Coturnix japonica: one gene and its partner. Each later gene encodes a partner of the first gene's protein in a complex. Links are inferred from orthologs where the notes say so. Each region holds a gene or a part of one and is shown on either strand. Other genes may lie near its edges.

Region 1 (3,216 bases):
ACCCTGTCTGTGTGTCTGCGGGATGGGGAAGTGCTCCTTAACTCCCCTGCCTCCATCCCGGCCCCAATCCAACAGCAAAGCAGGGTCCTGGCGTGGGTTGTGTGGGGAGGGACGGACATGGGGCACAAAGGAGGACATGCAGTGTCACACAGCAATCTGAGCAGAGGGAGGGGGACGAGGAAGAGGGGGGTTATGAGGAGGAGGTACAGCCCTGTGCCTGCTGGAGGTGCAGGGGACAGAGACTCTGGGGCTGCAGGGCAAGTTTGGGGCTACTCACCATCAGCTTTCACCCAGGTGCTTTCTGCCTCACTGCAGTGCCAGGCGAGCAGGGGACAATCAAGAGACGTGGCAGGGATGGCAAAGCTCAGCCCTGTCCCCATGGCAGCCAGGCTGCTGCAGCAGGGCAGGGCTGGTAGCGGGAGCCCTGCTTGAGGCTGGAGCCCAGATCCTTGCTCTGCCTGGGGAACTTTATATTAGTGACACATCTACACACACGCACGCACTCACACATGCAAAAATAAGTCTGTTTATTCTTTTTCAAAGTGATCTAAAGGATCCTGCAGGGCTGGGACACCTTCTAGCCACTATTCATCCCACCCGCCGGGATCTGCCCAGCGCTGGGAGCTGTTGGCTGAAGTGCTGCATTGCTCTGAGCGCCTTTAAAACACAACGGAACGGTAAATGAGAGGGGCTACAAGAAAAGGAGCTGGAGGAGCGAGGAAGGAAGCTCCGTGGAGCTGGGTGAGTGCCCCGTGATGGTGATGGTGCTCGGGAGCTGCGTAGTGGATGTGATGGTGAAGGCGCAGCCATCCTGGTGCCAGGGGGACACAACCATGGATCACTTGCGGCTCAGCAGGGATCCCAGCAGAAGAACTCCGGCCACGGTCGCCCCGGTCAGGAGCCATTTGTTGAAGGTCTCCTGGCCCTTCCTCAGCTCGGCAGCAGCATTATTCCCATACAGGTCCACAAAGCGCTCCTGCAGGCAGAAGAGAGCGGTGAGAAGGGGGGAGGTGAGAGGCTGCAGTGCCAGCAATGAGCAGCAGGGTGAGAACAGCCTGGAGAACAGCCTGCCCTCAATCCCACACCTCACAGGGCTCCCTCCCTTCTGCTGCCCATTTTCCCCAACCCCAGTGGAGGTTGTGGTGGCTTCGGGCTCTCCTTTTTCTCTGTAGAAAAGGCCGAGTTATTCTGGGAAGCAGAGAATCACAGAATGGTCACAGACAGCTCATCCAGTTCCAACCCCCTGCCATGGGTTGGTTGCCCCCTCCCCAGCTCAGGCTGCCCAGGGCCCCATCCTCCAACCATGGGGCACACGCAGGTCTCTGGGCAGCAGTGCCAGGTCCTCACTGCCCTGATGGTGGAAGGAGCAGAAAGGCTGCCAGGCTCCCACAGGCAGGAAAGCACCGGTGGGGACAGAGCGGATGACAGACGCCGTGTGCTTCCTTGCTCTGAATGATGCACGCAGGGCAGGGGGGGAAGCACAGGACTGGCCATAAGAGAAGTCGATGCCAGGAAAGATTTGCAAGGAGAACACCACAGAGCTCTAAAATTAGCATTGAAGCGTGATCATTGCAGGAGAAAAACTGAGCCAGTGTCAGGCTGCATTGCTGCTGAGGCTGCAGCCCATAGTCCCAGTGCAAGCATCACTGTGTCCAGGGCATCACGATGTCTCTGCTCCCCTGTCCTGCCTGGGTCACCTTGCAACACTCTGCATTTTGCACTTGGGTTCTGCAAGTTGCTGCTGCAAAGCTGGACAAGAAGCCCTGCCTTCCCCCAGGCTGTGGGAGCGTGGCCAAGCACCAGCCCAGGAATGCAGCTGCTCCAGCCTGGCCCAGCCAAGCCAGCCTCTCCAGCTCTGCATCCCCAGCCACAGCCAGAACCGGGCAGATGTCACCGTGCAGCAACGTGCTGCTGCCCCTCACCACTCATCCTGCAAAGCCAAGAGGAAGCAGAATACCCAGAACCTGGATATCCCCCTGCAAGACCAGGGATGAGTGCAGGGCCCTGCAACAGTGACAAGGCAGGGAGCTTCACTGCCCTGGTTTATCAGAGCTGAGCAGGAGCCTGCAGGCAGCCCTCTTGCCTTGGGACCTCCCGCAGCTCAGCCAGGGGCTGGCAGGGCTGTACCTTGAGCCATCTTCCCAGCAAGGTCCCTGCTCCCTGATAAGTGAATGCAGTTCCAGTAAGCAGCTGCTCTGGAAAAACAGAGATAAGCCTGGCTGGTTCTGTGCTGCTGTCACGCCTCACCATAGCGTTCCAAGGTTGGGACAACATTCCTGCCTGGTCTTTCACCTTGCCACATGTGTGCATTGCACAGCAAGCTCTTGCACATCAAAGTGCTGCACTGTAAGGCATGCAGCTTGTCTTGTTTCCCCTGCTTGGCCACACAGCTCTCCCACCCAGCAGCCCACAGCCACCAGTTCATGCAAGTGCTGCCCAAAGCAGCTGCTCCCAGCTCTGCTCAGCAGTGTCAGGAGGAAGGCTGTGGAAACAGACAGCGATGGATGGGAGGATGGGAGCCTAAACACAGGGCAGCAAACACAGCATTGCCCAGAACAGCCCCACCAGCCCCACTGCACAGGGGCCCCCTGCTCCATTCACACAAAGCACTGAATGCTGCAGCTGCTCTCAGGTCAGAGGAAAGATGCTGTGCACATCAAGGTATTTCCCCTATAAAAACAAGTCTTATTGCTCAGGTGTTCCTTAAGGCTGGTCCCACTGAGCCAAGCACCAAGTGCTTCCATCCCTGCTCCTCAGGGTCTTCCTGGGGCACAGAGATGTCCCCAATGTACCCAGTGAGGCCACAGAGGTACCGGGGCCATGCAGATGGTGGCACCTCTGAGCCAGAGCCTCCTATAAGGGTGGGAGAAAAAGAGGCACAGGGAGAGGCCCCCAGGGCAGAGGGGACAGGACGGCATCTCATCATCTCATCGCTCAGTGCTCCCTTTTCTTTGGTACATGCCTCTCAGCTTGGGGAAAGGCAATTCCAAGAAGCACGTTTTGGAGAGCCTGTTTCTAAGAAAAGGAAGTGTTTGCTAAAGAAGAGATAAATGCATATGGTGAACTATCGGGTGCCACAGGAGGAGGAGAGAGGGATAGGAGCTGAGTGTGGCAGGGGGTGGGGGGAGGGTAGAACCCTTCTCCTTCCCCTGGGAACAAGCATGGGGCAGGGGGCCTGGGGACCTGTCCTACCATGGAGCACAGCTGTGATCCCAG
Region 2 (4,138 bases), on another chromosome or scaffold:
GGGAGTAAACTCTTCGAAAGGGCTGACAATAGCAGGACATGGGGAAATGGTTTTAAGTTAAAAGAGGGAAGATTTAGGTTGGATGTTAGGGGGAAGTTCTTCACTAGGAGAGTGGTTAGGTCCTGGAACAGGCTGCCCAGGGAGGTTGTGGATGCCCCGTCCTTGGAGGTGTTCAAGGCCAGGTTGGACGGGGCCCTGGGCAACCTGATCTAGTAAATGTGCATGTTTGGTGGCCCTGCCAGGCAGGGGGGTTGGAACTACATGATCCTTGAGGTCCCTTCCAACCCAGGTCATTCTGTGATTCTGTGATTCTGTACTGACGCCTTGTTTTATAAGAAGAACTACCTGGAGGCTGCGCTTTTCAGAGCTCTCATCATTATCCTGCTCTGTGGAGCTCTTGCCAACTAGTCCACACCTATTTAAAGCGCACTGCCAAAGCTGGAGTCAGCGCTCCAGAGAGATATAAGCAGCACTGCACAGATAACATCACCACTCACGCACTCCAGCATGGTGCATGGTAAACAGGTGCATTTAAACAAGTCAGATGAATGATTCTGCTTCTTTAGCTTAGGGGTCAGCTCAGAATCACAGAATCACAGAATGACCCGGGTTGGAAGGGACCTCAAGGATCATGTAGTTCCAACCCCCCTGCCTAGCAGGGCCACCAAACATACACATTTACTAGATCAGGTTGCCCAGGGCCCCATCCAACCTGGTCTTGAACACCTCCAAGGACGGGGCATCCACAACCTCCCTGGGCAGCCTGTTCCAGGGCCTAACCACTCTCCTAGTGAAGAACTTCCCCCTAACATCCAACCTAAATCTTCCCTCTTTTAACTTAAAACCATTTCCCCGTGTCCTGCTATTGTCAGCCCTTTCAAAGAGCTTACTCCCCTCCTGGGTGTAGGTTCCCTTCAGGTACTGAAAGGCTGCAATGAGGTCACCCCGCAACCTTCTCTTCTCTAGGCTGAACAAACCCAACTCCCTCAGCCTGTCCTCATAGGGGAGGTGCTCCAGCCCCCTGATCATCTTCCTGTCCCTCCTCTGGACCCTTTCCAAAATCTCCATGTCTTTTTTGTACTGAGGGCTCCACACCTGGACACAGTACAACAGATGGGGCCTCACAAGAGCCGAGTAGAGAGGGACAATCACCTCCCTATCCCTGCTGACCACCCCTCTCCTGATGGAGCTCAATGCACCCCTTACAGCGGTGTGGTACAAACAAGGGCACAGCTCCGCCCCTCACACACCGACTCCATGCTCTGAGGGCGCCCACCGGCCGCTCGGTGTCGCTGTGAAGGCGGCAGAGGCGTAGTGCTGGAAGGGCGCATGTGCGCTCGGTGACGCGGTGGTCCCGCCCGCTATATGAGCTCCGCCCGGCGCTGACTCGGCCCTTTCCGCCTCGCTCCCGCCCGCTCTCGGGTCGCAGAGCAGTGAGCCGAGCCGCCGCTCCCCCCGCCGCCCCGCACCGTCACCATGATCATCTACCGGGACTGCATCAGCCGTAAGAGCGGCCGAGGGGGGTTGGGGGGCTGCGATATGGGACGGAGGGAGGCGGGCGGAGGGCTGAGGGCTGAGGCCTGGGCCGGGCACGGAGCCCGGCGGGGCTGCGCATGTGCCATGCGGGGAGGAGGGGTGGATGGAGGGGGAGGGAATGCGGCGGAGCTGCGGGGGGGCCGGGCTCGGGATGGCGGAGGCTGACGAGGCGTTGGGCGCCTGTGTGTGCGTGTCCCTGCAGAGGACGAGATGTTCTCGGACATCTACAAGATCCGCGAGGTGGCGAACGGCCTGTGCCTGGAAGTGGAGGGGAAGGTGAGTGTGAGCCGCACGAGTCGAGGCGGCGGGGCAGGGTGGGAGAAGGGGAGAGGGTGGGGTAGAGCCGAGCTCGGGGAGCGTGGCTCTGAGGTAGTGCCCTGCCGACACGTAGGTGTGTAAGAGAAGCGAGGTGTGCGCACAGCCTTGAAGTTTTTTGATGTCTCTAAATCTAGATGGTCACCAGGACAGAGGGTCAAATTGATGACTCTCTAATTGGTGGCAATGCCTCTGCTGAAGGTCCTGAGGGAGATGGGACAGAAGCCACGGTGATAACTGGTGTGGATATAGTGATAAACCACCACCTCCAGGAAACCAGCTTCACAAAGGAGTCATACAAGAAGTACATCAAGGACTACATGAAAGCGTAAGTACTGGTGGGCTGCTCCCATATAAGGTTGCTTTTGTTCCTAGTGTTGCCAGCACTTAGAGTTGCCAGACTAGCTGTGAAACTCAGTGATGTCTGAATCTTTGGCAGATCTACAGAATCACAGAATTATCAAGGTTGGAAAAGACCTAGAAGATCATCTAGTCCAACCATTACCAATACTTCCTGGCTAAATCATATTCCTCAGCACAACATCCAAACATTCCTTGAACACTCCCATGGTTGGTGACTCCACCACCTCCCTGGGCAGTGCATTCCAATGCCTGACTACTCTTTCCGAAAAGTAATGCTTCCTAATGTCCAGCCTGAAGCTTTAAAGCATTGCTGTGGGGATATCTGTGCTTATCTTGGCTGAGGTGCTCAAGGTCAGGTTGGACGGGGCCCTGGGTGGCCTGATCCATGAGCCCTGCCCACTGCAGGGTTTGGAACTGGGTGGGCTTTGTGGTCCCTTCTGACCCAACGTGTTCTATGATTCTGAGAGCAGATTTGCTTCCAAAGGATGGATTCCTTTGCTCAAAGTGGGCTAGTGTTAAAGGTGAGAACGGTTCTTGTGATGCTGATGGAGGGTACTCTTGTTGCTGTATAAATGGCTTGCTAATTTTTGCCTAGCACAAACCTAGAAGTAAAATGAAACTGAGGGGTAGGCCCCATTCTGTTAATTCACCAGCATTCGTGGAGGGGTTGGGGATGGGGAATGCAACACAATCCAGCTGTGGCTGCTGGTAGCTCCCTACTATGATGCTGCTGCACTGTGTGTAGTGTGGAACGTGTTCTCAAAACTTGCTTTTTATTCCTAGAATCAAAGCCAGACTTGAGGAACACAAGCCGGAGAGAGTAAAGCCTTTTATGACAGGGGCTGCAGAACAAATCAAACACATCCTTGCCAACTTTAAAAACTACCAGGTTGGTTGTGTTTCTTTATAGCGTTGTTTCGGTAATACGGGCTGAGATTGTTTCTGCTTGTGGTTAGAGAGCTCCTACTGTAAAAATGACCCTCATTGAGTTTATTTGGAGCCTTGATAGTCAGGGAGAAGAAATACTAGAAAGACTTGCAGGTGTCTGGGGAGCTCATTACAAGCTTGAGGTACCGTGATAACTGCAAATGTAGCTGAAAGGAGCTGTGGTTACAGATGTTAAAGGTGAATTGTTTTGCCCCCTACTGTGTCTTATTTGACTGCTGACAGTAGTGTGGTAATGCTGCGTACTAAGATTCCTTCAGCTGTTGAGGGAACCTGTATAGATTTCACGTATAATATGTGCTGCTTGGTGGTAGTAGCTCACTGAGTGTCTCAGTAACGCATTTCCTTGAAGTTCTTTGTAGGAGAGAACATGAATCCAGATGGGATGGTGGCTCTCCTGGATTTCCGTGAGGATGGTGTGACCCCCTATATGATCTTCTTTAAGGATGGCTTAGAGATTGAGAAATGTGTAAGTACCAACATTGAACTGGGGTGAATGTACTTAAAAACATCAGTAGCTCTTTCCCTGCATTAATCTACCTCTGTTAATAAGTTGAATGCCAGTCTAAAAACTGTGTTTGCACAGTCTGATTGCTGCTTTGTGTTATGTAAAGTGGCTGGGGCTTCCGTTGGGCTATTGAGTCATACTAAAAGGGGATGTGGCTTCACTGCAGTGATTCATAGTGATGTAATGGATGAGTAATGCAGAAGGAATTGCCTCAGTGAAGTGTGTGTTAAATGGTAATGGTTTAGACTATGAAATGTATTCCATCTAGTTCAGGACCCACTTGTATGGGATAACTAACTCTGGAGTGCTGTACTTCACTGTATTTCTCTCTTTCACTTAATCTGCCTTTATTTAAATAGGCAGTTCTTGTGTAACTAAATACTGCCCTAAATATGGGAACATGGCAGCACCTTCCTTATGTACTTAACCTTTTTCTGTCTGGAAGTTCCAGCTGTCTGAGCCCAAGCAGTT

The links. Proteins that work in one complex are often made in the same cells at the same time.
Region 2: the proteins of BCL2L1 (region 1) and TPT1 are in contact, whole or in part, in a crystal structure (PDB 4Z9V), measured with the Homo sapiens proteins. The link is inferred for Coturnix japonica from reciprocal best matches to the Homo sapiens genes BCL2L1 and TPT1. Residues at the interface, in NP_001304848.1 of Homo sapiens: Ala93, Glu96, Phe97, Arg100, Tyr101, Ala104, Phe105, Leu108, Gln111, Ser122, Gln125, Val126, Glu129, Leu130, Asp133, Asn136, Gly138, Arg139, Val141, Ala142, Phe146, Leu194, Tyr195, Ala199, Ala200, Ser203; in NP_003286.1 of Homo sapiens: Phe14, Asp16, Ile17, Lys19, Ile20, Arg21, Ile23, Ala24, Asp25, Gly26, Leu27, Cys28, Leu29.

The regions. Positions count from the first base shown.
Region 1 is NC_029535.1:9,026,022-9,029,237, reverse strand, and holds the end of BCL2L1 (bcl-2-like protein 1), read right to left. Parts: intron 977-3,216; coding exon 839-976; 3' UTR 507-838; downstream 1-506. UniProt on the Homo sapiens protein: Potent inhibitor of cell death. Inhibits activation of caspases. Appears to regulate cell death by blocking the voltage-dependent anion channel (VDAC) by binding to it and preventing the release of the caspase activator, CYC1, from the mitochondrial membrane.
Region 2 is NC_029516.1:150,168,586-150,172,723, reverse strand, and holds the start of TPT1 (translationally-controlled tumor protein), read left to right. Parts: upstream 1-1,327; 5' UTR 1,328-1,476; coding exon 1,477-1,504; intron 1,505-1,738; coding exon 1,739-1,812; intron 1,813-1,988; coding exon 1,989-2,179; intron 2,180-2,997; coding exon 2,998-3,103; intron 3,104-3,511; coding exon 3,512-3,628; intron 3,629-4,138. UniProt on the Homo sapiens protein: Involved in calcium binding and microtubule stabilization. Acts as a negative regulator of TSC22D1-mediated apoptosis, via interaction with and destabilization of TSC22D1 protein.